Linked DNA regions of Tamandua tetradactyla. The main gene of each other region encodes a partner of the protein of the gene in region 2 in a complex. Links are inferred from orthologs where the notes say so. Each region holds a gene or a part of one and is shown on either strand. Other genes may lie near its edges.

Region 1 (16,108 bases), on a different chromosome or scaffold from region 2:
CATTCATAAGTGAAACTTCCTAGGTCTTATCAGATAAGACAGGTTCTGCCCAATATTCTACAATCACTTCACGTAATAATGTACTACAATTTCAAGACCCAGCTTACCTCCCTTCTCCAAAAATCTTTACGCAAACATACAATCCAAAGATCTTTCCCTTTTGCTCTGTAATCACTGATTGTCCATGCAACAAATATTTATCAAACATCTAATATCTATAAATAACTTTATCCAATGAGGATACTGCAGTTAACAGAACAAAGCCCTTACCTTCATGAAACCTACATTTTAATTCCTGAAGACATAATATAATTAAATATACTATACATCATATGGTATTAAGCACTATAAAGAAAAACAAAGTGGGGGAAAAAATAAAGAGAGTTAGGGAGGGCTTCTAAATCATAAAAACCCTCTTTAACATTTGGAAGACATTTGAGCAGAGTCTTAAAAGAAATAAGAAAAAAGGAGAGTCATGCAGGTTATGAGAGAAAAAATATTCTGAACAAACAGCCTTTATACACATGATCCCTTTATACTTGCCTTTTAGATTCAAAAATGCTTTCATGAACAGAGATTTGAATTGATGCTTTGTCTGAAACTGCATTGTCAGAAGAAGAATTACAGGAAGTAAGAATGCACATTAAGGAGAAATAGACTCTTCAGCAGCTCTTCAGTCCTCCAATCACACAGGGCACCAAGTCTGCCTCTCTAGGAACTGTCCAGAGAGAAACTGTCCAGTGATTTAGAACCATAGTTGGGATGGCAACTCTTCAAATAACTAAGCTTGTGCGGACCCCAATAATGACTCAGAAGGAGTGCAAGTTTTTTAAATATCTACAGAAATGAACATTAAACTCAGTACCCTATTAAGGTTATGATGTTTCTTCTGTAAACACAGTATTATCTATCACTTCTAAAAACTAAACTGTGGTCACTAATTTATTAGAATACCCTAATTCCCCAAATAATCTGGCCAAACAAGTAATTTTTTAACCTACTCTCTTGACTCAAAAGAATTCTTTTCAAAAACATGTAAAAGGATAAATATCACTGGATAGATGTGATAGTAGCACTTTACTGTAAGGGTAACTAACAGCTCTGAAATACGGGTGATTAAGGTTAAAAGGGGAAGTATGGGTTGTGTATGTCACTAGAAGGAAAGCTAGATGATAAAACATGGGCTATACAAGATGATGAACCCTGTTGTGGACAGTGACTGTGAATAACTGTACAAATATAAGAATGTTCTTACACAAACTAAAACAAATGTAAGTCATCATTACAAGGTGTTAAGAATAGGGTGGCTTATGAGGAAAAAATACAACTGACGCAAACTATGGACTATAGTTAACAGTAACACTATAATATTCTTGCATCAATTGTAAAAAACGTACTATACTAAGCTAAGTCACAATAATATGGGAGTATACTGGGTATGGGATTTTTTATTTTTATTTTTTTGAGCAACGAGGATGTTTTCAAATGACTGATTACTATACTGGTTTGAAACCACTATGTGTGAAAAAGCAATGTTCTTATTTTTTTCCACGTTCTTTTAATCAGTTCAATTTTGTGGGGTCAGATTTATTGTTCAGGGTGGGACCTTTTGATTGGACTGTATCCATGGAGATGTGACCCCACCCATTCAAGGTGGGTCTCAATTAGTTTACTGAAGTCTTTAAAAAAGCTGACAAAGAGAGCAGATGCCTAGCCTAGATACAAATGTATGGAGATGTAGAAGGAAAGCTCCTTGGCAGAAGTCAGAAGGACCCCAGGAGCTGAGAGAGCCATTTTGAAACCAACTTGGGAGGCCAGCAGACATCACCATGTGCCTTCCCATGTGACAGAAGAACATGGATACTGCCTTTCCTCCAAGAAGGTTGCTGGTGCCTTAATTTGGACATTTTCACGGCCTTAGAATTATAACTTGTACCTTAATAAATCCCCTTTATAAATGCCAATCCATTTCTGGTATATCACATTCCAGCAGCATTAGCAAACCAAAACAGTGATGAATACACAACTCTCTGATTATACCAAGCACCACTGACTTACACTTCAGATGGATTGTCCAGTGTATTAATAAAGCTGTTTAAAAACTAGGGGGGAGGGCAGAAAAAAAAAATTTCAGGTCTCTAATACAATAAAGAATTTTTTTTTAAAGCACTGTCAATTTAAAGTAACATACATTTATCGGTATATTCATATCTCATTCCAGAAAGGATTTAGCAAGCAAACAAAAATGGATAGCAAATTTATATATCATCAAGTTTTTACTAGATTTTAAGATTTTAAAGTATTTCGCTGTTTTTATAACAATACAACATATGTACTATGGCAAAATTGCATTTCATTTTCTAACATATTTTTAGAAAGAAATTTATTCTAACTTAAATATTTGATTTGCTACTGTGTACAGGAAAGAAGTGATTTCACAGTAGGTAATTTGTTTCCATTTTTTCTTTTTTTAAAAATTTTGTTATACTTTAAACATAAGCAGTATAGACAAAATCAACTGAAACCGGGCAGGCGATGGTGACACCTTGGCAGAGTTCTCTCCTGCCAAGCCGGAGAACCGGGTTCTCGTCCCAGTCCCTGCCCATGCCAAAAAAAAAAACAAAAAACAAATCTACTGAAATCAATTTCAAGTTACTGGCCACATTCAGCTGCAAAACCAGAATTCTGTCATACAGAAATTTAATCAGATGACCTTCCATGTGCATATGGAAACCTACTTGTTAACAATTTCTAACATTTCTTTCATCTGCAACTAAATCTAAACTAAATATCATTAAATGTAGAAACAGCAACCTAAACAATTATTACAACTCTTTTACCTAATAAAGAACTCCTTCCTTCTATATAGAGCCATGAGAAAATAAATAAATAGACATGAGGCTGGTGTGGCTGTTAAGTGTCACTGGAAAAAACAAAGTTTGATCCCTGACTACCTAACACAAGCTCTTTGGTTTAAGCGTGTTACTTAACCTCATTCTCTGTTTCCTTAATAAAAACGTCTCCTAATCTAAAAAGTTTTGAGAACGAAGGAAAAAGGACTGTAAAAAGTGCACTGTCCAAATGGTGGCAACTCATCTACTCAGTTATTTGAACTGATATTTAACCTAATTAAAATAAAATAAATTAAAATAAAAAATTCAGTCACATTACCATATCTCACGCATGCAATGAGCACACGTGCTAATGGCTATCATATGGGACAGAGGAGGTACAGAACATTTCCATTATCACTGAAAGTTCAGTGCAACTTTAAAGCATCTAGGACAGAGCCTGGAAACTGGTAGCTTTTCAATAAAACATAGCTATTATTATTATCATGCTATGCCAATGTCCTCTCCCATTTTTCTAGCAAAATAAAATTGTCCTTTTAATTTATGACTAAACAACATATAAGTCACTCGAGCAAAAGTACAAAAATATATTTATTAAGGATGTACAATATTTAAAGTACTTCCAATTCAGATTTTTTTCTCGTAATTCACATTAATATATGAAGAAAGGAAGAAGCAGCAGCAGTAATCACTCTTGACGGCAAGGCATTAGGGTGTGTTTAACTTTTCAAGTGGGCTAAAACCTAAAAAGGTGTGGATTTCATTCTATCCTGGCATCCTCAGTTTTCTTATCCCTCAATCTAGAGCCCAAGAAAATGCAATAAAGATCTAGAAACACTCCTCAAACTATCTTGATATACAAACAAGATCAACAGTAGACAAAACTCACAATTTTCTAGTGACTTAGTTTTCAAAATTGTTAAACCAGTGTGTAATTAAAAAAAAGAATTCTAACAAACAACTCTTCTTTAAACTAAATGTATACATAAAATATATCACATTAAATTTACTCCCCCTTTCTCAATAGGCAAATTATAGACAAGAAATGTTATACAGGCATCTTTTACCAACTTACAACAATAATGTAACCAGAAAACACTGAGTTGAGTAAGGAGGAAAAAAAAAAAAAGGAAAAACCAAATATGCAACACAACTGAATTTTAGATAACTAAGACCAGATCAACCCAGGCAAATCCAGTACAGAAACTCTAAATTTTTTGCAAACTAACGTGTAAACCAAATTTCTATTGAAAAATAAATGCAAAAAACATTTCATTATTTTGAAACTAAGGTCTCAAACTTTTTTAAAAATTTAAACTAAATTAATTTCCTATATACAAAGAAGTATGATACCACTAACAAAATAGCAGTTCAAAATCTGAAGGCTGCTAGTATAAGTTATCAACCTAGCAACACTTGATAACAAGACTTTAGAGTATATCCAAGTTTTCTTATATTGGGGGTGGGAGGGGTAGGAACTTAAAAACAAAAGAGCTAACAATACAAAAGCTGAGGAAGCAGAAGCAATTTCAAAAAAGCAAATACTAACTTTTCTTTGCATTGTTTAATAATATTTTCTGCATTCCTAATGTAAGAGAATAAGGACATTATATCCTCTTCATTTTTCTTTCATTTAGTGATTTTCACATTTCTCAGAACTTCTAAACGTTTGCATACAAATTATCACAACAAATCTTTTAACACTGATTTTAGTAATGAACTTAAAGGTTCTGCCCTTCCCACTATCACCAATAAAAAAAAGGAAGAAAAAACAGTTTAAGATGCTTGATCAAAAATTGATGTCTATGAACGGTTAAATGGTGATACATTCATATCAGCAATAAAAAGGAACAGACTACTGATACACACAACAACTTGGATCAATCTCAAGGAAATTATGCTCAGTAAAGAAAACAAATCCTAAAAAGTTATAGTTTTAACATGGAACCCAGAATGGAAATGAGCGCTTGTAATTCTGCATAGCTTAATGTAATACCCAGATACATCCTAGAGTATGCTGAACAGGTAATAAAAAGTACTGGCAAAGTCCCTTGAGGGTCTGGAGAAAAAAATATGGAACTATTAAACTTTACTACTGAGAAACCCCTGATACTGTGGCAAACATTAGGGACTCCCAAGTCAGCAGGTCAAGCCCTTGATCTTGAGGCTTGCGCTTGAGAAGTTCATTTATGTATTGGAAAAGCTAAGCCTACCTATAGTTATCCCTTAGAGTTACTATCAGAGGACCTCTTTTGTTGCTCAGATGTGGCCTGTATCTCTCTACGCCCAAGTTTGCAAGTAAAATCATTACCCTCCCTCCTATGTGGAACATGACATCGGGAGGTGAAAATTTCCTGGCAAGGTAGGATATGACTCCCAAAGATGAGCGTGGCCCTGGCACTGTGGGATGACAATGCCTTCCTGACCAAAAGGGGGAAAGAATCGTAACAAAGTTTCAGTGGCTGAGAGAGTTTAAATAGAGTGGAGAGGCTTTTACACAAGCTTCAGCTAGCTACTGCTATTTATCATGGTTTGCCAAACCAGAAACAAAACCATTCCTGCCAAACCTAAAGAACACCTAGGGCTTTATCTGAGATTCTACAAAGGTTCCATGCACTATGATTACTTTCCCGAAAGCTACAACCTCCAGATGGGTTCCTAGGCCAGATAAGTCCTGAAATCCAGAGCAGCCAGCCCTTGTAAAACATCAACTAGTTCCACCCCCCATCCCAGTTAGAATGGGCATAGCCCAAATACCCCTAAAGATTGGAAGAAATACCAAAGAAGGTGGAGTTATAACAAAGAAGATAGGATTTAACAAATTAGTATGACTGCTGAATCATTATAGGATATTACTTTTAGTCTCCAGTGTCTTGGAGCAGTGAGAAAGAAAAACCTAAAATTGTGGAACTGTAACCCATACCAAACTCTGAAATCTGTCCTATAACCAATTGTTACCGTGTGCTTTGAAATTTATCCCTTTTTTGTATATATGCTATTTTCACAATAAAGAAAGTTATACAGTTTTATTCCTTTTACATAACATTATTGAGATTACAAAACTATAGAAACAGAGTGCAGATTAGTGGTTGCCAGAGTTTGGGGGGAGAAGGGATGGAAAGGAGGGGATGTGTTTCTAAAAGGGCAACAGGAGATACTCTTGGACTGATGGAACTGTACTGTATCTTGACTCTAGTGTGGATGTGGCATCTATACTTGTGATAACACTGTAAAAACTAAACACACACATACATGTGAGTACAAGTAAAACGGGAAATCTGAAGACTGGTAGACTGTATGAGTGTTGTGATACTGAACTATTATTTTGCATGGCATTAACATGAGGGGAAACCAGGTAAACGTCATAGGGGATCTATTACTCCTTACAAAATGTGACTTTACAATCCCAAAATAAACTAGGAAAATCTAAGTATGAATTGGATATTAGAAAATATTAGGAAATAACTGTTAACAGTATTATGATTATACAGAATTTCTTATTCTTAGGATACTGCTGCTGAAGTATTTAGAGGTGCAGTGGTTTTGTCTGCCAAGTCACTTTTAAATATTTTATATTTGGGAAAAGAAAGCAAATATGAAACATGATAAAATGTTATCTATTTACTTCTTGCACTCCCTTCAACTTTTGCTTGAATTTTTTCAAAAACTGAGGGGAGGAATTAAAGATATATTGCTATCTCAAAACAAGGTTAGTCCTACCTACAAACGAATTAGTCCTTTAAAAGGTTTAAAAACAACTGCTCTAGTATAACTAAGCTATAGTCCCACCTACACTCCAATTAGTTTTAAAATTAAGAAGTGGCACTACAGGTTTCAAGTGATTAAAAATTATATGGTATTGGATGCTACTTTGTAATATGTTTTTCAAGATGAACTGACTATATCTGTAATGTATATAGTTTTGCAATATCAAAGTTGATTCAACACAGATTACTTTTTATTTCTAGAAAAACTGGATCCCAGGAGTACTTCAACAAGTGAAATAAATTCTAATTGCAAGAGTAAAGAACTAACACTTTCATACACACCCCCCAAATCTTAAAAGGTTTAAGTTGAACAAAAACAGGTAATTCTTTCAGAATGACTGTTTGCATAAAAGGGACAACCCACACACTGAACGCCATACAAAAACCTGCTACAATGTATTAATTATAGCGCCAAGGCTACAAGTCAAATTTTACATTGTAAATAGTCATCCAAACATCATTGCATCTACGGATTTATGCAAGTTGCACACATTCGAACCGTAGGGAATAAGTGAGAGCCATCTCAAAAGTTCTATATTCTTTTTTCCCTGCTGCTAAGTTTTGGCATCATTATACACACTTAAGTACAAAAGAAAAGTCTGCTTAGAACTTTCAACTAAAGGTACTTAACTTTTCACTTCCTACCGGACCGCCCCCTTGTAATGGGTTCTACCTTGTGAGGAGAAGGATGAAGGGGTGGGGAGGTTTCCCGCTCCGAAACTAAGAAATAAATGTTTCTTCCCTACTCCAGAACGGAGGGAACAAGAGAAGCCAGTAAGGCTGCAGACTCAAGTATGCAACTGATTACAATGTTTAGAAAGCTTCCTTTCCTTTACTACTCCCTCCTATCTTCCTTCTCCCAGGTCATTCAGTGGCCCCAGGATCGGCGGAGACAGGTGAATTCTAGGAGGGGAAGAAATGGGGAGGGACCATGGAGAGAGAGCCGCGCTTAGGCAATGAATGAGCCGTGCTGCATCGGCACCACCTGTTCCTTTCACGGGTGCCGCCCAGGCCTGCTGGTCAGCGTTCCCGCACAACCCGGACCGCGACACCAACCCGTGTTGCACGCTTCCCACCTAAAGGCCAGGCCTTGCCTTCCTTCGCTCGGGGACGAAAGGAACGAAAGTCTAGAAGCCGGCAGAATGGGGCCTAGTCCGGAACCAGGGCCTCCGAAGCGTGGTTATTGGAAAGCAGGTTGACGCCTGTGGTGCCCGGTGAGCGGAGAGAAGTGGAAGCCACAGGGAGGGGACAAGAGAGTGCATTCCGCCTGACTAGAACTACGAAAGCAGGGTCCCCGGCGGGGGTGGCTCGGTGCTCTCCTGACCGAGGTTACGGCTGACAGGCCCAGGTAGGGGCTAAATCCTCCCCAGTGCGTGCCGAGACGCTCACACTTACCAAGATCCGCTTGAAGAGCGCGTTCTCCTTGGGCGGGAGGCTTACGGCCGGCATCGTTCCGGCTCCTCCCGCTGCTCCCTCCACCACCCGGCTCGGTCAGTCTGTTTGTCCGACCGCCGCCGCCGCCGCCGTTCCCTGGCTGATTCAGCCTTGAATACCCCGACTGCCACGGCTACCAGGCCTCAAGTGTTCGCCGCGTCGCCCCACCTGGACACCCTCTTCCCTTCGTTGTCTTTTCTCCTTTCTCACTTAACGCTGCTGCCGCCGCCTCCCCCCAGCCAGTCCCCGTCGGCGGTTCACGTGGTAACTGAACAGACCGACAGAGCAGCCAAAATGGCGGACGCGGAGGGCTTTCCCACCCGGGTCACACCTCCGAGCACGCAGGCGCGGTGACCTCCTTTCCCCACCTCTTCTGTCCTGGAGCTTGCCGGGAAACCTGGAGGCTGACCGGCTCGCGGAGGCTGTGAGGGTCGCGGCAGGCATTACCCTGTCTTTTATAAGCTCTGACCTAGAAGCCCGGGATAAGCGAGGGGGCTAGAAAGGGGCCAACTCTGCCTCCAACCGCCTCCTCATCAAAAATAGGCTTTCTGCACTTTTCTGCTAGGAGGGCCTTTCATTCATTGGGTGGACGCTCCTTGAACCGTAAGTGCTAAACTGCAGGTGTTAAAGAAGCGCTGTGGTTGTTCGTAGAGGAAATGCCCAATTAAAAAGCAGAGGCGGAGTGGAAATGAGGCTTCTGCATAATGGGGACTTGGGAACTGATAGGAATGCCGGGAGGCTTGATAGAATTTGAAGAGCGTGAGGGAGGCTTGAATGGGGTTTGGTGATTCGACGAGTATTGCTTAAGATGAACCTGGAGGGGTATGGGTGATTTGAAGAATATTCTTTAAGATGAACCTAGAGAGGTAGTTAGCCCAATCCGTCGTGCCGTATATGCCCTTAGGACAGTGGAGAGTTCAGGGTCATTGGCTTACCTAGAGCTGGCCGTAAGCTAGTGCTTAAAAATATTGTGACTCGTTGAACTCTGCATTACCAGCAATTCCCAGACTTTAGAAGCCGATGAATATGCTAGGGAAAATGACTGCAATGGACAAGGTCGGACAGACAATACCGAATAAGGTCCCTCCCGCTCAGATTCTAGTAAACAATGTATATACGTCACTTCACTAACCACCGACAGTAAAATTTTTATCAAAGTGGCATTCCATTGATGATGCAAAACTTTTCACGTTCTGTCAACCATTTTTTACCCTTGGTTTTTGATGATCTCTCTCCAGATCAATTTGATCTGTAGCATTCTTTGCATAATAAGCCAATAAACAATATACTCGTGGTTTTGTTTCTTTTCTTTTCTTTTCTTTTTTAATTTATATAGATAAAGTTTTCAGCTCATTCTTCCTTAACCCTCCCTGGGTGGTGTGAGTTGAATAAGACTGTTCTCAGTGGGAATAATCTGGTACAAAAATTCGGATTTTCTAGCTACTATTTCAAATGCCCTCTCCTTTTGCCTGGGTCATATGAATAAGGTTGCATCATTCAAATCCTGGCATTTCCCTGAAATTTGTGGTTTCAAAATTTCATTTAAAAAATTGTAGTTACAGAACCCCTGTGTGGGTTTTGGAATATGACCAGTTCCTTAACCTTAATTTTTAAAGATTAGACAACTTAGAATTCATGAAAAACAGTTGTTATTTAGTAATAACCTACAAACTTCACTACCTCAAAAAATCTTTCTATCAAATTATCTGAACTATTAAATGACAGAAAAATTTCCCAATTACAGGTGATAATTTTAGCTTAGCTAACTTGGGCTTCCAAACCCTTGGTTTCATATCCCAAAATCCCTACAGCAGTATTGTTTGCTATGGTTTTCTAAATTTCTCCTGTAAATAATATATACTTTTCCCCTTGGGAGAAGGAGATTTCTGATCTTTGAAACAAATAGTGGTTTCCACCCGAAGCTGGGTACCTGAATGATATAGTTGGGCAAATGTTACTTTTTTTTTTTTTTTTTTTTTGCTGCTAACAAACAGCAATTTTTAGGACTCAGTCACTGCTATTCTGATTCAACATTTATCTGATTCATATCCTAGTTAAAATGCACTCACAGAGAGCATTAGTCTGATCACACAGCCTAGGACTAGATAGCCTGAACTCAATAAAATATCTATTCTGATCACCACTGTTTGACAAATGGAGATCCTGTTAAACTAGAGTTTTGCTGTGAATTGACAGCTAAGCAGGAAGTTATAATGATGATAATCATGATGGATAGTTCATCTTATTCCATGTATTTGCATGTCACTTGCAAAATGCCTCCTCTAAAATATTTTAACTAATGAAAAATAATTTACCTTGCAAAATTTAATTCTACAGAAGGGATATATGGAGTATAATTTCTCCACTGAAAACTGAACTTCATTTATGAAGTTCAAAATGTTCTCTATTGAGCAGGCCACAGCGGCTCACCAAGCAGATTTCTCGCCTGCTATGCCAGAGACCTGGGTTCAATTCCTGGTGCCTACCCATGCAAAAAAAAAAAAAGTTCTCTATTGACACTTTTACTTCTGCATTATTAAATAATCAAATGTCATAGAAAAGCAATATAAAGGAAGTTATATGCTACCCAGATTTAACAAATGTTTATATTTTACTATTGTTTCTGATCTTTTTGTTTGTTTTTCCAAATTAAAACTCGCAAATACATCAGAAACTCCATCCCTCTCCAGATCCTGTACTGGATCTGTAGAATTCTCTTGCATTAAAAATCAGTAAATGGGATGGGCCGCTATGGCTCACTAGCAGAGTTCTCACTTGCCATGCCAAAGACCCGGGTTCGATTCCCAGTGCCTGCCCATGTTAAACAAACAAACAAAAATCAATAAATGAGAAGCATGAGATGTATGAGTTTTTTCTTTTTATCTCTCTCTAGAGTGATGCAAATGTTATAAGATGACCATGGTGATGAGTGCACAACTATGTGATGATATTGTAAGCCATTGTATACTTTGGATGGACTGTACATATATGAAGATACCTCAATAAAAATATTAAAAGAAAAAATCAATAAATGATAGATGTTGTGGTTTTGCATTTTTAAAATTTTACATAGATATTATACTGTTTGCAACTCTTGCTCTTCCTTAACCTTCCTTGGGAAGTATGCATTGAGTAAGACATTTCCCAATGGGAAAATCTGGAACTAAAACTTGCCCTTTCTCTTTGCCTGGGCCATAAATAAGGGTTTTAGCATTAAGTATCTTGGAGCTACTTAAATGAATATCATGAAGCAACTTCTACCAAAATATCATAGCTATTAGCTTCTGGCTGGAATTGCTTCAGCAGGATTCTTTCCATGATGGAGTTTCACCTGCAGCTGCCCACAGCAAGTATAGGGTTCCATCAGCTCTAACATACTGAGAAAAATGCACTTACACTTCATCACTTTCCCAAAATACACACTATTAAAGGATACAGGAACCAAAACTCTGACAAAAAAAACAACACGATCTTTCCCAACATCAGTAATGAAGTTAGTAATTTGCTAGCTGACTAAGCACGTCTTCTGTTTCAACCTGTTGGATACTAGTAAAAGCTTTGTCAGGACATGTTTCCAAGAAAAGATATACAGTTTACGTGCTGCTGAATGAATAAGAAGCCAAGAAGCTAGGACCTAATCACTGACTCAGCGCATTAGTTGGGTGGTTTGCTTACTTGAACATGAGTCCCAGAGGCTCAAAACTAGGTCACAAAACTAATAAGTGACTCACAAAGTTAGCAATCCATTTAGCCAACAGTTGCATGTAAAAATGAGCCAAAAGGCATACTACAATTATTTTATTATTTATTCGATAATTTTGGGTTAAAAACACATTTTAAATAATATTTTAAAAATATAGAGGGAGGGGGGAAGAATCTGGCTTACTTGTGCAAAGATAAAACATGCCAGTACAATGTCTTTGACAGGCAAAAACAGACACTTTCTAAGATTCCCAACATACCTTATAAAATAGGTTTTGTGTTATATGCACAAAGAAGTTAAGTAATCTGCCTAAAAATCATAGAACTAAAAAGTGGTGAGCATGAGCAATGCTTTGAACTTGGCAGTTTGAATCTTGCTTTCCACCACAGTCCAGGCTGAGGATCACCAGTTCTGGGAACAGACTTCAGCAGGAATCCCACCTCCCCAGCTGTGTGATCTTGGTCAGGTCCGAACCCATTCACCTCTAAACGCTGGGATTCTCTCATCCTCTCCGGGTTGTAAGACTTCCCTATAATCATGCCGGCACACGATTTTGGAAACTGTAAGAGGTTTTTACAAACATAAGTGATAACGTATGACCTTGGATGAGTAGCTTGATTTCTTCGAGTCACGTCTGTACATTGAGAATAATCTCGACATGTCATGTGGTAGTTGTGAAGAGGAAGTGAGATAATGCATGTAAAGTATATAATGCGCTAAACATAGCGCCTGGGACACAGAACTCAGTCAAAATGCTAGTTATTACTAGTCAACGAGACACTTTGTTTTCAGTTTTCTGTGTCATGTGGGAAGATTTTAATAAAAAACAGTGCCCCTAGGGAGGGGGTGAGAAATAAACTCTCAGAGGTCAGAGAACTGGATAAACTCTTTTTTTTTTTTCTTTTAATCACTTCCTAACCCCTTTACAGACAGACAGAAGACCGAAGCCAGAGAAGTTGAGTTACCTACCTGACCATAACCGCTGCTCGCAGTTGACGTTCCACCGAAAGCGGCTGCGGAGCTGGCGAGTCCCGCCTTTTGCCCGCCAGGGGGCGCTCGCCCTGGCTCGGGCTTAGGCTCCAGGGGTGGGCGGGGACAGTGGGTTTGGCGCGGACGCGGAGGTGGAGCCTAACCCGGCAAGATGGCGCCGTCCGGGTTGCTGCGTTCCTTCTCCAAGCTGCTGGCCCCGGCGCGGTTCCCTAGTGCTCGTGAGTGTCCCTTCTCGCGCAAGCCTATCCGACTCCCCCTACGCCGCCTACCCCTTCCAGTGCGATCCCGGCCCGCGGGGGTAGGAGGCGGTGCGGCCCGCGTTCTCCCTCCAGTGACCTCCCGCCCGCGGCCTAGCGCCTGCCCCTGTTCCCACCTCAGACTCTCGGTTCCCCGTCACCCGCCGCTGACCCAGCACCAAGCGCCACCAAACCCTTCTTGACCTCTGCGAATAGACTTTGGTTTCCCACCGCACACTCCACACTGCAGGTTCGGTTTAGCAGATGCAGGAGAAGAGACCCTCCCCGAAGCGTGTCCTTGCGCTCCCACAGCCGGAGTTGTCTGAGGATCTGTGAGTGGGTAAACTGCACCGTGTAGATGTCCTGGAGGCAGGACTTGCCGGTGGCCCTGGGCGAGTTCATTGATTCCTCTAACTTCTTTTACCTTGGCTGTTGAAAAAAGAATTAAATACGATAACACACACATAAATGTTAAGTTTTTTTTCCGTCGAGGCCCTAAGTTACAGATATGCATACCCCTCTGACCTGTTTCAGCTTCTGTACGGTCAAAATTCTACGTTCGGGAGCCGCAGCACAGCAATCCCGACTGGCTGAAAGTTGGACTGACCTTGGGCACCACCGTCTTTCTCTGGGCCTATGTAAGTACTTGACTCTCACATCGTAAGAACAGATACAAGGAATAAAGAAGAAAGGCAGATGAATGTCAGTGTGAGATTCACGAGCAGGACTCCCACAGAATGCATACTTTTGTGATCGCTAACATATTTCTCCTTAAGGGAAATGACCCCAAGAAATATTAAAATTACAACAGGTGAAGGGTTTCTGTTTCCATAGATGATGCACTTTTGGTAATGGACGGAGGTATCGCAATATTGTGAATGTGATTAAATCCCAGTGAATGATGAGCTTGGGGGTGATTGAGATGGGAGAGTTTATGTTGTATATATGTTCCGCAATTAAAAGGAAAAAAAAAAGCAAACAAACAAGAGCATCTAAAAAGACAATTGTAATTAAATGCAGTATGTGATCCTGGACAGGATCCAACAAAGGAGGCAAAAAGGCTCAAAGGAACATTATTGGGACATATGAAAAAATTTGAATTGGAATATAGTCTGTAAGCTTTATATCAATGTTAAATTAATATTCAAGGGACATACTATATACAGCGTACACTTAAGTGTTCAGAAAATGGATTGATAGACAGATGGATAGATAGAATGATATGGAAAATGTGGCAAAATATAATTAGTGGACCTGAGTATCTGGGGTGTAGGGTTATATTGGAGTTTTCTGTATGGATTTGTACTGTTTTTGTAATTGCCCTGTAAGTTTAAATGTATTTCAAAATAAAAAACTAAAAAGAAATTTTAAAAAAAGAAAAATATTTCAGCGTGGAGAAAGTATGATGAGATTGAAATTCCTGTTCGTTGTTACTAAGTGTGGTATTGTGAGGAATGGCAATTTTGCTAAGTATTAATTACCCTTTATTTCTTAATGATGAGTGAGACTGGTTGGGGTGTTATGAAAGCACTTTTTCAGAAGAAGCTATACAAATGAAATCCCATTAGATTTCTAATACATTAGTTTTTAATGTTCGTATTAAATGTATTGTTGGAAATTGTACCTCGTGTGTAGCAGGCTTTTTTATATCTGGATCTTTACTGTATGCCAAATGCTTTGCATATAAAAACTCTTCAGCAATATTATATGGTAGGTACTATTATTGTTCCCCTTTTGCAGAATAAGAAACAAGCTTCGGGAGATTAATTTACTGAACCCAGTTCTTACATACTTCAGAGGCCACCCTATAGACCATTGTGAAACACTCCCTCTCTCTTTTTTAAAAAAAGTAAACTCAGAGTATCTACATTAGCATTAAATTTTTTTTTTGTATGTCTATTGACTTTGGGGCTTCTCCTGTCGCCCCCCACTTCCAGCCCTTAGAGCTCTTATTTTGTATTTTCTAATTCAAGTGATTCACATCTTTGACATTGGACAGAGTAAGAGATGTCCAAAGTCATTTACAGTTGCAACCATTAGCTAATCATTTTTGACAATATTTGTTGTAGTGAAATTTTGTACATTTTAAATTTCAGTTAAAATTTTTCCCTAAAAGTCTTAATTGCTGCTGAGGACTAACTGTTAAAACTGGATCTTAGATTTCAGTAAATTTCATCCTACATCAATCATCATTAAGTTGCGTATTCTGTCAGGTGGTTTTCCTTCATGATATCTAATACACTTTTACAATTCCACAATTTTAAGTTTTTACTTTTAGCTGCTCTAAGATACTGGAGACTGAAAGAAATATCAATAAATAATTCAGCAATCATACTCTAAGTCATACACTTTTTGTTGGGAAGTAGAGTTGGTCATTCATTCACAGCATCACACTTCTAAGGTTAGAAGTATAGTACACACCCACCAACTGGTCTGGACCCCATTTAATAACCAAGTTCTGTATTATATCTTGATTTAAGCCCTCTGTGGTAAAGTATTCCATCACATTTATATCCCACTGAATTAAGTAATTTATTTGGCAGAAGTTGGATACAAACTTTTAAGCATTGCTTTTTCAAACATAGCATGTCAGATTGTTATGAAGAAGTCTATACATTCATGATTTTTGGACTTTAGGATCTCTTAGTCTTTTATTTCTTATTAGAATAATTGTAATTATTTAATTCTATCCTCATTTCTCTTGCAAAATATGTGTTATTAGTATCCTCCTCCTCTTTAAGTTGCCAGGGAAATTGCATTTCTGCTTTTAATTGTTACTTACTTCTAGCTCATCAACCAACATAATGAAGATGTTTTAGAGTATAAAAGAAGAAATGGCTTGAAATAAGCTTTGGAAATGCTAATATAGTAAGTAGTATATAATTTTATAAAATGAAAAGGTTATACAGTTTATTTAATAGTTATTAGATTTATGCTTTCCAACATCCATATTCCTATCTGTGACAAATTTATTTAATACCTTGGCTCTTAAGCATAGTCAGTTTATTTTATTTTATTTTCATTTTTGATTTTTTGTTAGCATGATCATTACTCTGGATAAATGTTCTCAAAAACAAAGGAAGTTGTGTCTGAGAATGAAACCAAAATCATGTTATTTTCTTAACT
Region 2 (16,600 bases):
TAAGAAATAAATGTTTAAAATGTTCTTAGTATTTTCATACACTGCAGGCAGTAAACATTGCTACCGTCTCTTTGGAGGATTAATTGGCAACCACATTTTACCAGAGTTTTTAAAATGTGGTTAACTTCTCATTCAAAACACTCACTTTCAGGGAATTATCCAAAAGAAATAACTAAAAGTGTGTGTCAAGTATTTTTAAGAGCAAGCATGCACTACCTTACCATAGGGGAATGAGATGGGAAGCCACTGGTCTTGGAAAATGAAGTGTTCCCTTAAGAACAGCTTTAACAATGATGGAGACAGGATATAGGTTATATTAGCTCAGCAAAGAGAGGCAAATACATACATCCAATTCTCCCTTCCCTATCCATTATAAGCAGAGATTGAATGACAATACTCAAATCTAAACCCAGGACTGGCCTCAGAATCCTCCACAGAGGTATAAATAGCCACAAATTAACTGTCAGACTGTATGTTGAAACATTTACCATCTGGGAACTAGATTCTGGATAAAAAGATCATATTTTACACAACTTCATTTTTTTCACAGTCCAATACAGCGCCGTTGAACAGAAATATAATTTAAAGTCACATAAGTAATTCAAAATTTTCTACTAGCCACATTAAAAAAGTAAAACGAAACAAGTGAAATCATTTCAATGTGCAATCAAAATAAAAACTAATAATGAGTATATATTTTTCCATACTGGGTCTCCAAAACCCAGTATGTAGTACACTTACAGCACATCTCAATTCATGTAATTTCCCTTAGAAATATTTTGGTCTGTATTTATATTTCATAAAATGTATAGCTGAAAAAGAAGATCCACATATCCAAGTCATTCCATACTTAAAAACTGTCCAATAACAGACTGTATAAGTTTAAAATTTTTAATTAAATTTTAAAATTCTATTCCTCAGTCATACAACTCACAATTCAGTTACCCAACAGCCACTTTAACTAGCCACTACTATATTGGACACCACAGACCTAACACTTTGCCAATAAATTAGATACTGAATGAATGTAAATAGGAAATGATGGAGGAAGAAATATAAAGAGAAAGCTAGTTTGGGTGACGGCACAACAATGTAATTTTGTAGCTATTAAACTACAATCCAACAATTATTAATTCCTCGATGGAAAGGAAGTTCCTATTAGTTAACTACTGGTGTTCTATTGGTTATTGTGAGGTTGTTAAAAAAAAAAAAAGTTGAAGGACAAACATCTGAATAATTGAGAAAGCGTATCTCTTCAGATGGTACAAAGCTGAAAGTCCTAGTTGATGTTTGGAAGACAAAACCAGGAGACAAAATGACTTCCACAGTCCAAAATAGAGGATGTAGCAAAATGAAGTTATCAGTTGAAAACTAATAGATATCAGTTGAAAGACAATGGTTGAAATCTGCATAAGCCTCAGGAAGGGATTTTCGTTGAAAGTACAGTTAATATACAACAGTGTAAAATTAATTTGACCATAAATTGCAATAACAGGCATATACTATTCAGAACAATGATGACAACAGTCCCACCTCCCCATTCTACTAATCATATCTGGAGTGACATTCACATAACAGCAGTTTGAAAGTTTGAGAAACAGGGCATATTATCTTGAAGTGATAGAAGAATGCTTTGTCTTCTGGAAGATCTTTAAAAGACAATCTTAAAAAAAAAAAATCTCCCAACCCAGAAATTATTGATTATTCTTTGTTTTTTTTCCAAAACGTTACCATGGTTGACTACAAGTGGAGGACGGATTATTAAAAAAAAAAAAAAAAGAAAATCACACCCCTGTTGGCAACAGAGCTTGAGCCACCAATGCATATACTTGTTGGTATCTGATATCACTTCCTAAATTATAAAATTATTCTATTTACAGAGAAATATGAAATCTGATATTCTTATATCCTATGGTGTAGTTGTAGCTGACCATTTATATAATGAAATAAATATTTCATTACAATTTACTTTCCTTTTTATTTCTCCTTTATATTAAAGTTATAGGGAATTACACTGATTTAAAAAAAAAAACTTGCAGTACAGGTATATTCACCTCAATATAGCAAAGGGGACACTAAAGAGTATTTGTTAAAATCATCATCTCAAATAGCATCTCACAAGTTACTGGTTTCCCAGAAGTGAGGATCATGAATCACAGGTTTACAAAAGCTGACTCTTACTTTAGTCTGAAGGGCTTTAAAAAAAAAATTGCTTTGCTGGCAAAAACAGCAATAAAACGTTAAGAAAAAAAAGAAAAAGAAGCTGTCTAATAAATAAAATATTAAGAAAAAAGAAGCTGTTTAATAAGTTAAAAAAGTATAAGTTATACAGTAAAGGGTATAAATTGTGTGTACAATGCAACAGCTTTCTTTTTTTTTAATATATGTATACAACTATGTAATCAACATCCAGAAAAACACAGACTATTTCTAGCATCTCAGAATCTGACTCTCTTGTGTCCCCTCCCAGCCATAGTTGGAGGTAACCATTATTTTGAATTCTTCAACATAGTTTCTGACCAAGATTCTTATACTTTAATTTTATTTTCTAGTAGCATTTGCTGAAAATGACTTTTAGTGTTTTAATTAGTAAACTACATTGTTGCACATACTACATATTATTGGTGTCTACTCTCTACTTTCCCATCTTTACCTTGATCACGCATTTTTTTAAGTACATTTTTATGAGATCTAATTTATACCCCTTTTCTACAACTGAAGAGTAAATGGATTCACTTCTGCTTTCTATTATATTGACTAGTTAACTGCCACCTCAGTCATGGATGTCTATGGCATACCTTCTTGCTTGAGTTTCACCTTCCCTGGAGAGGAGTATAATTAAAATAATCAGCTTGCCATCCACAAATTCAAAATATAATGTCCCTTATTCATAAAAACAAGCAACCTCAGTACAAAGAAAGCATCATTCTTGTAACAGATCTCAAACACTGGACCTTTAAATACATGCAATAATTAATAATAGGAAATTCTCTACTATGGAGAAAGGCAAATATGTATGTTAACACAATGGAGTATTTTCTTCCTGGTAATAATGAAAACTAGGTAGATATATGAAGAAAAATGAGATAAATTCAAAAAGTTTAAAATGATAGATATGGAATATAAACAAACAACATAAAATATTTAAACTATACAGAATCAGGAGTTCTTCATTGTTTCAGATTTTAGGTATTCTATCCAACTTACTGTTCTGTTAGCTCAACATACAATAAAAACTTAGCAAATAAAATTCCATACAAAACCTACAGAGTAACTGACAACAAATCAAGAGTCAGGACTATAACACTGATTGCCTTCTGCTTGGTGATTTAAGTCTCTGAACTCAATGATGTTAAAATCTTGTAAACAATGTATACTGTCTTCTTGTGTTCAAACCTTAAATACAGACTTAGAAGCAAAATTTTTTTTTAAAGTACCATCTTACCTGTACTTCAGTTCATCTGGGAAGTTAAAGTGACTATTTCTGGAAAATCATAATTAAGGTTTACAGTTAAGAACACATTTCTAAGCTCCCAATCATGAGAAGTGCTAGGATCTAGACTTAAGGAATCTTCATTCCAGGGATGGTTGCTGGCTGGCATGAAGTACAAATTCAATAGCTGTGTTGCCTTAGGTTTCCTCTAAGTTTGGCTAATTACTCATTTCTGGGGCTCTGTCCCATCAAGTTAGTAACCTCTTACACGTAAATATTCATTTAAATAAAAAGACAGTTGCTTCATGGATATATTAAATGAATGTAGTACCTGAATAATACCACTATATAGCTCCATCTGTATAGCCATGTTAGGTATTACACATATTTCTTCCTAATTACACTGATCTAGACCAAAAAATTTGGAAACACCCAGAATAATTTCTTAGAGTCCCCCTTCTATAAATCTGTAGCAGCCTCATACTGGAAACTCTTCAGTTTCCTTTTTATTACTTGAAGAGAACAAGACAAGTTTGTACTGAGAGCCTGGCAATGAGAATACAGAAACAAGAGCCGACAACCATATTCAAGGAATGCAGTCTTACCAGGATTAAAAAAAAAAAAACACTCCCAAATTATGCTGGATCATGCCACATTTCCTAGATCATGATTTGAATGCAGCAAACACTTTTTAAGCCCCTCAATTAGTTTCCTTACTGGACTGATAGGATATAATGCAGGGACTGTGAACATTTCTTCATAATATCCTTAATTTCAAAGACTTTTTAATACAAAATGTACAATTTAACATTAGAAATAATTTCCTGTACTTAAAGGAAAATCATTGTAAGAAAACATATTACAGACCTAAGAACAAAAAACTTTCTTGGAACCTCTTCTTTAACACACACACACATATATAAACACACACTAGACAGTCTGAGATTACTTAAGCTTATCTTTATTTCATCTTCGAAAGGGCTGTTTGAAAGACTTCACTAACTCAAAAAGTTACTTATTTAACTGACTAAAGAGAAAAAACCGTAGGCACCTTAAAACCTTTTCATATTTATAAATTTTCAGGGCGGGCCACGGTGGCTCAGCAGGCAAGAATGCTCGCCTGCCATGCCAGAGAACCTGGGTTCGATTACCGGTGCCTGCCTATGCAAAAAAAAAAAAAATTTTTTTTTCATTTCTTTTTCTAAGGAGGGTAGAGAAGACAAGCTACAAAACTAACTCAGGCAATGATTTAAAATATAGCCTTATATAATTCTTATTTAAGAGTTATATTTAATACTAAGGAGACATTCTATCAACTGGAAACAGTCAAATCAAAATAGTCCCTAATTTTAACTAGAAGGGAAACAAAAACTTTGCAAAGCGTCTGAAAAAAGCATCAGATGAACACCCTAAGACCCCACTCAGCAGTCAGGGGCAACAGTAAACTACTGAAGCAATAGCTCCACCTACCGATCAACAACACTTCCTTAAACGTTTTGGCACCCCAGGACTACAGCGCTCGAGCTTTCTCCCCTCCCCCACCCGCTCTGACCCAACCCAAATCTAGTTGAGTCACTAGCCCTTAATACTCATACCCATGCTCTTTATTCTAATCCTCCCCCTCCCCCCCTCCAGAAGGTTCTGCACGGTTCCTAAGTGTGAATCAAACTGCACGGTGTGAAAGACAGCAGTTCCAGTGTTAATCCTCATCTGGAGAAGAGGACAAATTGACTACTCCACCTGGAGTGGCGGGCGGACACTGATCGGTGGCTCAGGCCGTCCATTCCGGGTAGGAGGCCACAGACGCCTCACAATAGCTTTTCCCTGCTGCCCCACTCATTCGCTACCTCCGTTCAGCCTACATTTATCCTTTGGGCCAAAATCCTCGGGTTTCCCGAGTCTTACCTCCGCTGGTCCTTCAGCCCGCCAACAACCCGAGCCCCGCCTCCGCCCCCTCCGTGAGTGGAGTGATCAGAGAAGCCCAGCAATCACCCTCTGCCCGGCACTTCACGACAGCCCTGTCTTCTCTCAGAGTCTCTCCTCTCTTTCGCTGCCTCCCTCCCTCTACCCGGGCTCAGGGTTTCTCCCCTGCCAACCAGGCCCAGCCCAGTTGCCCTTCCTCACCCTTTCATCTTCTCCGCCTGCTGAGGCCGTCGTTACCACTGATATCAACGCCGTCGTCGCCGCCGCCTTGAGCTCTTCGCGCCCTCAGCTCGGGCCACTCAACCCCAGAAGCCAGTCTACTCTCCTGGGGCAGGGAACTAAAGCGGGTGTCGGAGGCCGCAAGAATCAAGCGCGGCCCTGTGCCTCCAGAGGGGGCGGAGATGTCTCCTGCCGCCGCGTTGGTGCCGCCGCTTCTCCACACGTGCACACGGGGCGCTCGGCTCCAGCCCGCCGCCGCGCCGCCAGCCAGACCCGCCGCGGCGCCGTGACCTTTCACCCCACCCCCTCTACGCGCCGGCGCGTCCGCCGTTTCGCGCGCGCAGCCGCACTACTTCCCTTCGTGCGCCCTTCCCCCTCCAGTACGGGGCCTTCATTTTACTGGGTTTGGCGTTCTAGCATTCTCTTTTTCCTACTCCTTAACACTAATTGTGGGGCCTCGGTGGTAGAATCCATTTTTTCCACTCATCCTTTTTTCTCTCCCCTGTTAACAATATCAACCGTCGCCCACCCTTTCTTCCTAATTGGTAGTATCCAGAATGACCTTCAAATGCTTCTGTTTCCTAATAGGATTTTATTGAAACCAGTTCTTCGAAAATGTAAATAAGTCTGTGAAAAACTTAAATAAAAGTAGGTGGATTTGACACAAACGCAATTAACTGGCGGGTTTACTCGACTTTCCTCCACATGCCTCCAGCTTTAAGATGACGTGATTGGTCCAAACCTTACAGCCTGGGATTTTGCTGGTGCGCCGCAAGGGAACTCTATCGCCATTTCCGGTCACTAGATTATGGCTTGGACGTCACTTCCTTAGCATGTACCTTAACCCTTGTCGTGTACGCTTCCTACGTTACACTTCATGACACAAACTTTGTATAAATGTTTACGCTTCTTCTTTAATCACAAACAGAAAAATTTAATGCGCAAACGATCCACAAAAATAGAGCCTTCTCAGATGAAGTGCGCGCGGATGGAGGCGGCGGGGAGGAGCTCTAGGTCACGTGCTGTCTAGACCCGCCCCCTCTGCAGCTGAAGACTTCCCCGCCCGCGGTGACAGAGCTCCTGCGTCCGTGGTCCTTACTGGTCTCTGCACCTCGCGCCACAGCAGGTGAACGGCGACCGGTAATCGGCGACTGGTGGGGATAGTAGAAGGGGTTGGTGGGCGATGTGGGGGAGTGCGATAGGCGGCCGTCGCTGCCGGGGCCTTCATCTCCATTGTCACCCTGCACCAGAAAGGCGCTCATTTTTCTAGTACTACTGAGCCCTGCTCCCTACTTTGGCCGCCCCCGCTACCTGGGGGTTGGAATGTCCACTCTTTCCAGGGTTGGGGGTACGTGCGGCCATTGTGGTTTCCCATTGGAAGTCCTTGGGACTTCGACAAGTGGTATTGCTTCAGCTAGTCCTCGGGGTCTGCAACAGCCGCCCGGTCTCATTCCCTAAAGCCCATTCTTTGGCAGAATACCTGCGCCGCCTTTCCCCCAACTCGGGGCTGAGTAGCGAGGAAGTAGGAAAAAAACCTGGAGGAAGAAGTGTCTGTGGTGAGATAGGCTTGGTAGAGAATGTCACTGATATGGATGACCCTCTCTGCGGAGTCACCGAAGAGCTTGCTTGCGAACGTGCTTTCTCAGTAATTATAAGGTTTTTATCTGACATCCCTGCCGTAGGGGCTCTGTAGGTGTCCACATGCTTTGGGTGGTTCTGGAAAGGTTTTTAAAAACAAGGTTGAACCTTTCACCTCAGATTTTATGGTGAAAAGAGGGAGGGAGGACTGTTAAAAGAGTGGATATATGCTAGCTTGAAAACAGGGGTGATGGTAATGCGACAGTGTCAGTTGAATGAAGAGGCGTTGGAAGATTGTTGCAACGTCGCGTACTGGAAGAGGTTCAGGCTAGCCTATGGAAAAGTGACTAGATTTTTCTGAAAGGAAAGTAATTCTTCAGAAACTGATCGGGCTGAAAATGGAATATAATTAAGTTTACTTGACCATAAATTTAAGATAAGATTAAGTTAGGATATTGCTGACTCCATGTTTTCTGGTTTTGGACGTCCTTATCTATATACCTTCTTACATAAAGCTATTTCTCCCTAAAATCCTACCTAAATGCTACTTCCTGTCAAATCCTTGACCAGTTTTAAGTAGCGCTTTGCAGCCCTCCTTAGCTCTCTCCATTTGTGAAATACCAGGTGACTTCTACATATTTTAATGAATAGTGTTTTGTGAAAATACAAAAATTGTTTTGCCTAGGTCTTGCCCAATAGTTAATGTTTTGCCCCCAACACTATTATTGCTCAAGGGAAGAGGCTTTTTCAGTTTGTATTGCAAACTCAGAAAGTTCTTTAGTTCTTTTACATCCAAAAGCCTCACAGATATTACAGATTTAATTTGCACTTTTTTGTAATCCGAAAAATCATGTTCTCAGTTAAGTCTCGTTAAACCAATGTAAATGAATAGTCCATTCAAAAGACAGTTGTCAAAGAGGAGGATGGTATCATTATCACTGGGATGTGACCCAATTACTCATTTTTGTATTTCTGTGTCTCCCAAATTTTGTACAATAAACTTGTTTTGTTAAGGAGAACAAAAAGTTAATTAAAATTTTGAAATAAAAACAATTTTAAAATAGTTTTATATTAAGTTAGTAATAGAAAAACTGTCCTATTGATGCTCCTTACAGAAAACATAACTTTAAAGGTCTTTCTTACTTGCTTTTTGCTCTAGTAATGAAGAAGACCAGAATTGTCCCCTTTGGATGTACAGTTTTGGCATTTTGTACTTAGATCCACAATAGTATTAATCTTTTGATAATTTATGTAGCTATGCCTGCTGCAGATATATAGTATTATCAATGAATTTGCTCCAGTGTGAGGCTTTCCTGATCTCTGTAGGACAGAAAAAAAAAAAAAAGAGCAGTATTGCTTCATTGCCCTGGGTGACATTCAGCCAAATAAGGAGAATTGCTTAAGTTCTGTGGAAGGTCCAAACCAGTCCTGGCTGGCTATGACCAAAGTAGAAAAGAAAAAACAGCTAAAAGCTTAGAGTACTAAAGGAAAACATCAATATGAAAGAGGTTGAATGAGTCTGCAATTTTACTTCACAATTCCCCCAATTTTAGGGAATTTATGACAGCAATAATTTAGATCACTGATGAAATCTGTGAGATTAGCAGCAGGAATTGGTAACTGAATTGCAGCTAAAGATGAGTGGTGAAAAGAGCTTTGACAGAATTATTCTCTCTCTCTCTCTCTCTCTCTCTCTCTCTCACACACACAAACACACACACACACGCACACAAAGTGATTTGAAGCTTGGAAGACATTTCTGAGACCAGCTTTATCAGTTTGAGTGTTACATGCAGAAATCTTAATGTTCATTAGGAAATTCAGTGGCTCCACAATTCAGTATTAAATGGTACCTAAGGTTTTTGCGTTAGGGTCCCTGACACTCTTCTGCTCTTCCTTTGAGGTTTTTCTTGTATTTCACTGCCTTTACAGATTGCTGTTCATACCAAGAATGCTCTTCCTTCTTCCCACCGGCAGAGCTAGTCACTTAGTCCTATAAACTATTATGCAATACTTTCAATTTATTTTAACTTTTAATACACTGTATTTAATTACTGTTTGCGGGCAGGCAACAGTGACTCTGACAGAATTCTCGCCTGCCGTGCCAGAGACCCGGGTTCGATTCCCAGAGCCTGCCCATGTCAAATAAATAAAAAATAAAAATAGAATTGATTATTAATTACTGTTTGCTAGACTGTTCCTCACTAAAGCTCCTAGGAGTTCAAGTACAGAGTCATTACTGCTGTTGTGTTTTAGCATCAGAGTGCTGAAGTACTAATAGGTATTGAATAAATTATTGACTATAGAGTATTTGGCAATTAGACAAGAAAATTAAATAACTTTAGCTCTTGCTGATCATATCGCCACCTAAGGTTATGCACTAGGTACCAGATATAATTGCTAATAATAAGCATCCAAATCTTTGTCAGTAGAATAGACATAAGCCTTAAATGAACTTATGATTAATTCAGTGATCATTGTAATTCTTTTCACAACAAATGTTTATAAAAGGTTTGGTTATCATCCAAATATGGGAGGGAAAGGAAGAGGAATAAGTTGTACTAACTGGAAAAAGTGTTTCTGCATGTGCTACAAATGGTATAGCATTATACTAAAATCATAAGGTCTTCAATCATGCCACTTTAGTTATATGTCCTTTTAAGTAAAGTTAGGATTGGAGAGCTAGGGTTTGATATTTAAGAACCTACCTCTCAAAGTTATTGTGCATTCAGGTGAGATAAGCCCTAGGTGATCTATATGAAAATAATTTTAAAATAACGTGGTATGTAAATGTAAAGCAATATAGTGCAGACTTTACGAGAATAGATTTTCCAATCAGAGCTGGGTTCAAATTCTGGCCCTAACAACTTATTAGATGTATGACCTTGGACAGTTTATTTAACCTAAGATTAAGTTTTCTCCTGGGTAAAATCTCCATAGGTGCTATTAAATAAGATCGTGAATATAGAGTGCTAGTACATGTTTTGTTAATTTTTTTTTATTATTAACTTTACTGATACCTACCATATATTATGTATTTATGTATGTATGTATTTATGTATTGTTATAGTGTATGGTGGGGGTTACATTTCATTGTTTTTCCTTGTGACTATCCCATTATTGCAGCACCATTTGTTGAAAAAAAATTTTTTTGGAGGGGTAGGGGGTAAATGCATGGGCCAGGAATCAAACCAAGATCTCCCACATGGCAGGCGAGAATTCTACCACTGAACTGCCCTTGTACCCCCTACTTCTATATTTTTGTACTGAATTTCTTAGGCACGCAAGACAGCCTAAAAAGTGAGTAGTGCCTCTTTTTGAGCACCAGGTTTGGGATATGAAGGAGATGGTAGAATTTAAAATTAGACTATTCAGAAAAATATGTATATATGTATATACTTCTAGCAGAGACTCTGAAACAGCTCTATTGGTTGGAGCTAAAACATATCAATATAAGGTCCATTATTTTAGCGACTGCAGTAACTTAATATTTTCTCTGCTGGTGACCATTAATATGTAGAATCAATTTAAGGAAGCAGTTCTTCTATTCCTAAATTTTTGTCTATACAGTGAATTATAGAAAAATATTAAAATTGTACAGACCTAAACATTTTGTACACACACCTGTTCGTTTTGTACAGACCTGCACGTTTTTTAATGAATGCCTATATTAAAAGTTAAAAGTGTTGTCTTTAAACTTTCATATCTTTTTTTTAATATGAAATAGACTAGAAGTAAGCAGCACATAATGGAAAAATGAATTATAACAAATTTTTCCCTCTTTAAAGTGGTGACTCACAGATTAGTGTTGGAAAATATCAGTAAATCAAATAATAATTGAAGTATAGCTGTCATGACTTTATGTTTCAAACCTTAATCCTGAAAAAAGTTAATTGCAAATTTGTTATAAGGAAAGATTTTATTGTGAGTATAATAAATAAATAAATAAATGAATCTTTAATGTCAAGTTCTCTATTATAAAGGAATAATTTATGGCTAATAAGAATGTTTTCCCTTTAAGTTCTTTTTCTGTAGAGACTTTAAAATTTTGCTATTTTCTTTATTCCTGTTGTGACATGACTGGTTTATATAAGTTTATTCATCTATATGTATAGTATATTTATATTATATATGTAATGTACGTATAGCAAGTATTTTCATATATGTCTATGTAAAGGCAGCTGAAATGAATGCATATATTAGTCACTGCTATAAATAAAATTATCTAATGATTATTTTAATTTATTTGACCCTTTTGTATATTTGTTTGTAGTTAGCTCTGTTTAGCCTAAGTGATTAAACACTTACAAAAATTGATGGTATATTGTAAGTATTCAGATTTAAATTTAAGCACTTTAATTCTTGTATTCTGTGATTTTGGGGTCCTTGTTTTTTTTTTTTCTTTTTGTTGTTTTTAATTTATTTTTCTTTTTTTGTCACTTATTTTTTGTATGAATATTAATATGACTAACTTACAATAAAATTTCAAGATTCAAATCTTAATGCTATCTTTAGAAACTATTGTTTCTTTGGTGGAAAACATTTTTTTAAATTATACTTAAAATTTGCCACAGTTTGTGTGTCTCCTAAAAAATAATTAAGCTTATTTCATTGAAAATGAAATGGGTGGTACATTGAATGGTGCAGAATAGCTTCAGGTGTGTTTGAGGAATGAAAAGCAACTAGACATTTTGCATGTTGTTGTAGTTATTTCTTAGGTTAATTTTTTTAAGTGTTTATTTAAAAGTGAATAGAAAAGACTAAAATGAAAAATACTTGTAAAATTGAAGAAAGGGCATGATAAAAAACTATGCAATTGTAATATACATATAGAATAAATTGTAAGGAAATGCATCAAAATAATTTTCTTTACATTAGAAATTTATGGACAATTTAAATTCCATAAGTATAATTTATATTTTAGTTTTTATAGTCAATAAGTTTTCCTTGGGCAGCAAACTTTTTTTTTTAAGTAATGTGGAGAATTAAGCCATTTAAATAGTTATTCTTAATTACTTGGAAATTTCAGTTAAAAAATACTCTGAATTATTCAGATAACTGCATGTATTATTTAGTTTTATAGGTAGAGATATATTTTTAATCTCCTATATAAATGTAGCAGAATTTAAAATGGAAAAACAATTTCTCTGTATAAGGGAATTTAATATATGACCAAGTAATATTTCAATTTGGTCAGTAAAAGACATATCTATTTAGTAAGTATAACCAATATGGTAGTCCTTCTGGAAGAAAATAAAACTAAACCACTACTCTGCAGCATATGCAAAAATCAGTTTCGGAAGAATTCAGACTTTAAATGTAAACAAAATATTTAAAATATTAATCCTATAAATTTTCTTTATACATGCAATCTAGGTATAGTGGGGATTTTGTAAACCAAGATGGGATGCCTAAAAGTCATAAAAGTAAACATAGACATATTATACTATGTAGAAATGAAGAATTCTTCAATGACAAAAATAAATAGAAGGGGGAAAAACGTTTGAAATGTATGTAACAGATAAAGAATTAACATTTGTAATAGCTCTTAAAAATTAAGGAAAAGTCCACCCATTAGGAACAGGAGTAAAACATATGACCAGAAGTTCATAGAAGAGAAATCCAAACATTCATAAGCATGAGAAAGTTTGTCACTTCATTAGTTATCAGTATATGAACAATGAAATATTACTTCTGTCACTAGCAAAAATTAAATGGTAAACCAACTGTTAGCAGGGGTGTGTGTTAAAGGATTTTCTCATGAGTTACCAGTGAAGATATGAATTGTTACAGGCTTTTGGTAAGCAATCAGGCAATTTCTGTTAATATTGAAAAAAATATATTTATTTCCATCCAGCATTTCATTGCATATAATCTCTTACTTAAAAATAAAAGCCCTAGTAGGTAGGCAGGTTTAACATCAATGTTGATTGCAGCAACGTTTCAAGAGCAAAAACCTAGGAACAAAGAAAATACCTGTCAATAGGGGTATTATTAATGTAAATCATGGTATAGTTATATAATTAAATATTCTGAAGCCATTAAAAACTGGGAGTTAAATCTTACTGTGACTTGGATCACCAAATACATCCTGAAAGGATTTCCATGATCATCTTAAGTGAGAACAGTGGTATGAAAAAAATGTGTGTCATATGATACCATTTTTCTAGAACAATTTAAAAACATGAGTTTTTTATATGCTTATGTGACTGTCTATGAACATTGGAAGAGAGAACTAAGGAAAAGGGGCTCTTGCGCATAGTCAAGTGTGCTTGTAAAACTACATGTTTATGCATGTATATGTGCAAGCTGAGTTGAATGGTCACCAAAATGTTAAGTAGTTGTCTTAAAGTATTTGGATGGGCGTTTCAGGTAATTTATCTCTTTCCTTATACTTTTCTATACTGTGTTTTTACTTTTACAATGAACATGTAGTGTTTCTCTAAGTATAAAAACCAAAACTAATTGCATTTTGAAAAAAGAAATAGAATGGCGGAGGGGGAGATAGAGTGAATTGAAATGGCCAGAGATGACAATTATTGAGAAAAAAACATTTGTCTTAGGTTCTTGAATATCTAAGGGGAAAGTATATACATTATCTAGGTAACACAATAGATTCACTTCACAATTTTATATATGTGATAACCCTCAGTCACACAATAAAAAATTGTCATTAAATATGTTTGGTAAAATAATAGTCATTATCAGAGGGGTAGTTATAAACTGACATTTTATTTTTAGTTTGGTTTATTAAGTCCTCCTAAAATGATTTCTGCCTTGTAGATAGATGTAGGGTATATTTCACAAGAATGGCGTATGTTACCTGACTTAATCATGTGACAGTCTTTATCAGAAAAGCTTCAAATAAGAAAACTACTTCACTGAGTGCTATGAGGATTAAATGAATAATACAAGTAAAGAACTATAATTGGTATAAAAAGAGCTATATAAATATTTGGTATTTTTATTTCGTTATGCCCTTGCTCAGTTAATTCGAGATGTATGGTTGTTGGTCCAATTGTTTTAACATTCACCAAATCATTCAATATTTTTAATTAAGTTAGAGGGGTAATAGACGCAGAAATACAGGGAAAAAGTTATATAGTTATGTGTGTGTGTGCTCTCTCTCTCTCTCTCTCTCTCTCTCTCTCCCCCTCCCTGTCTTCTTTTTTTTCACATATTTGTCCGCAAAGGTAGTACCTCTTAATATCATTCTGGACCTAGCATTTTTTACTTAAAATTGTATCCTGGTGATCTTTCCAAGTTGATACAGTTAAAGTTGCCTCACTGTTTTAAATAAAATCTAATATTCAATTGTGCAGATGTGCCATCATTGTCATTCTGAATGTTTACTGAGTTCTTTCTCCTGATACAAGCACTTTTTTTGACATTAACTTGGAAAACCTCTTAGCAACCTTATGAGATAGGTACTCTTTTTAACCCTGTTTAACAAATGAGGGAAATTAGAAATGGGGTGGTGAAATGGCCAATAATGGGCTGGTTAAATACCCAACAATGCCACTGTAGCTAGTAATTTGTAGGAACTCAGGATTGAACCCAGGGAGTCTCTTTTCAGACCTTGCTGTCTTAATATCATTAAGCATGCAAGCCTCTTATACTACCACAATTTATTTAACTAGCCTATTGGGCATTCTAGTCATTTGCTATAATGAATCATTTGCTATAATGAATATCTTGTCAGTAGAACAGTTTGTACATGTACAGTATATTCCTAGAAATGGGCTAGCCAAATCAAAGGATATATGTTTTGAATTTTGGTAGATATCACCAAATTTGGTAGATTTTTCCAAATTGCTTCCCAGTTTTGGGACATACTAATTTCAGATTTGTACTCAGTGTTGGCCAAAATCTTTCATTTAGCCTGAGCCTTTGGTAGGTGGAATAGCTAAATGTTTTTTTTTCTTTTAAAAGGGGAATGAATGCTTTTTATTCTTCTGGCTTTCCTCAATTGTGGGCGATCTACATGTCATGTGATAGTATAGGTTACATTCTCTGTAATCATTGTAACAATGTCAGTATTTAAGAACAAGGGATAACATCAGATTTCTTACTACTTTCAAATAAAGGTGTAAGCATTCTAGGTATAAATTGATATGTTCCTTATGTAGTTTGTATGTTAAAATTCTATCAGGTGAAGTTTATATATGATTGAAAGTAAAATGCTACAATTTTAATATTGTGAAAGCTGCAATTTTCATGTATCAATACTATGAAAAAGCTTTCAAATAGTTGAATTGGGAATCAAAGTACCAATTAATATGAACATTAAGAGTGGGCTAACTAGGTAAGTGTAGGAATAACTATATTCTGTTTTTGTGAAAAATAAGTTTTTAGTAAATTGTGACTTCTAATCTTAGGTAATTCAAATATAGGTGGTGAGGGGCTTTATTCGGATGAGTTAGAAAATTGTTTTGAGTATAACATACAACTTCTGCTTGATGTTCACTTCATTTGTTTCAAGAAATAAAATAGCGCATGAGTATAGGAGACAGACCAACATCAATGTGCTCCGAAGTAGACACTCAAAATACAGAATTTGCTCAGGTCACAGTTTACTATATCTGAAGCGCTAGAGTGCAGAATTATAGTACCTGCAATTGTTTGGTGGGATATGTGGGTGTATGTTTTATATATGATCTCATCCTCACCCAAAGATTCTTTATTGGTGATAGTAGGGTGAGAGATATAGGTATTAATAGGCAGAGATAAACAGACTGTCAGTAACTTATTATTATGAACTAATTCTTCAAATTAGAGCAATATAAAGCAACAGAAAATAACTCCCCCCTACTTCCACATTCCATTTGGAACAATTGAGCCACAACAGCATTGAAATAAGAATATTGAGAGTTCGGCCTGAGTCTTGGAAGATGAAACCTGTCTATACCTTATGACTCAAAAGTTTATTCAGTCTCTTCGCCATCTTCCCGGTCCCTAGGCGTCTGCAACCATGAAGGTGGAGCTCTGCAGTTTCAGTGGGTACAAAATCTATCCCGGACATGGGAGGCGGTACGCCAGGACCGACGGGAAGGTTTTCCAATTTCTTACTGCAAAATGCGAGTCGGCATTCCTTTCCAAGAGGAACCCTCGGCAGATAAACTGGACTGTTCTCTACAGAAGAAAGCATAAAAAGGGACAGTCGGAAGAAATTCAAAAGAAAAGAACCCGCCGTGCAGTTAAATTCCAGAGGGCTATCACTGGTGCATCTCTTGCTGATATTATGGCCAAGAGGAATCAGAAACCTGAAGTTAGAAAGGCTCAACGAGAACAAGCTATCAGGGCTGCCAAAGAAGCAAAAAAGGCTAAGCAAGCATCTAAAAAGACAGCAATGGCTGCTGCTAAGGCTCCCACAAAGGCAGCACCTAAACAAAAGATTGCGAAGCCCGTGAAGGTTTCTGCTCCCCGAGTTGGTGGAAAACGTTAAGT

What was found.
Region 1: the proteins of NAA50 (region 2) and NAA15 are in contact, whole or in part, in a cryo-EM structure (PDB 6PPL), measured with the Homo sapiens proteins. The link is inferred for Tamandua tetradactyla from reciprocal best matches to the Homo sapiens genes NAA50 and NAA15. Residues at the interface, in NP_079422.1 of Homo sapiens: Arg5, His14, Asn15, Lys17, Gln18, Arg21, Leu22, Val25, Phe51, Asn52, Ile54, Ala55, Leu80, Pro82, Tyr83, Leu86; in NP_476516.1 of Homo sapiens: Pro369, Pro370, Thr371, Leu374, Ser403, Thr404, Pro405, Thr406, Leu407, Ile408, Phe411, Glu433, Ala436, Leu437, Asp438, Thr439, Ala440.

The regions. Positions count from the first base shown.
Region 1 is NC_135348.1:28,800,029-28,816,136, forward strand, and holds the start of NAA15 (N-alpha-acetyltransferase 15, NatA auxiliary subunit), read right to left. Parts: upstream 8,352-16,108; 5' UTR 8,069-8,351; coding exon 8,015-8,068; intron 2,224-8,014; exon of another isoform or gene 544-2,223; intron 502-543; exon of another isoform or gene 1-501. Other genes in the region: NDUFC1 (NADH dehydrogenase [ubiquinone] 1 subunit C1, mitochondrial), read left to right, coding at 12,898-12,964, 13,517-13,620, 15,771-15,830. UniProt on the Homo sapiens protein: Auxillary subunit of N-terminal acetyltransferase complexes which display alpha (N-terminal) acetyltransferase (NAT) activity. The NAT activity may be important for vascular, hematopoietic and neuronal growth and development.
Region 2 is NC_135336.1:32,896,736-32,913,335, reverse strand, and holds the start of NAA50 (N-alpha-acetyltransferase 50), read right to left. Parts: upstream 5,870-16,600; 5' UTR 5,566-5,869; coding exon 5,558-5,565; intron 1-5,557. UniProt on the Homo sapiens protein: N-alpha-acetyltransferase that acetylates the N-terminus of proteins that retain their initiating methionine. Has a broad substrate specificity: able to acetylate the initiator methionine of most peptides, except for those with a proline in second position.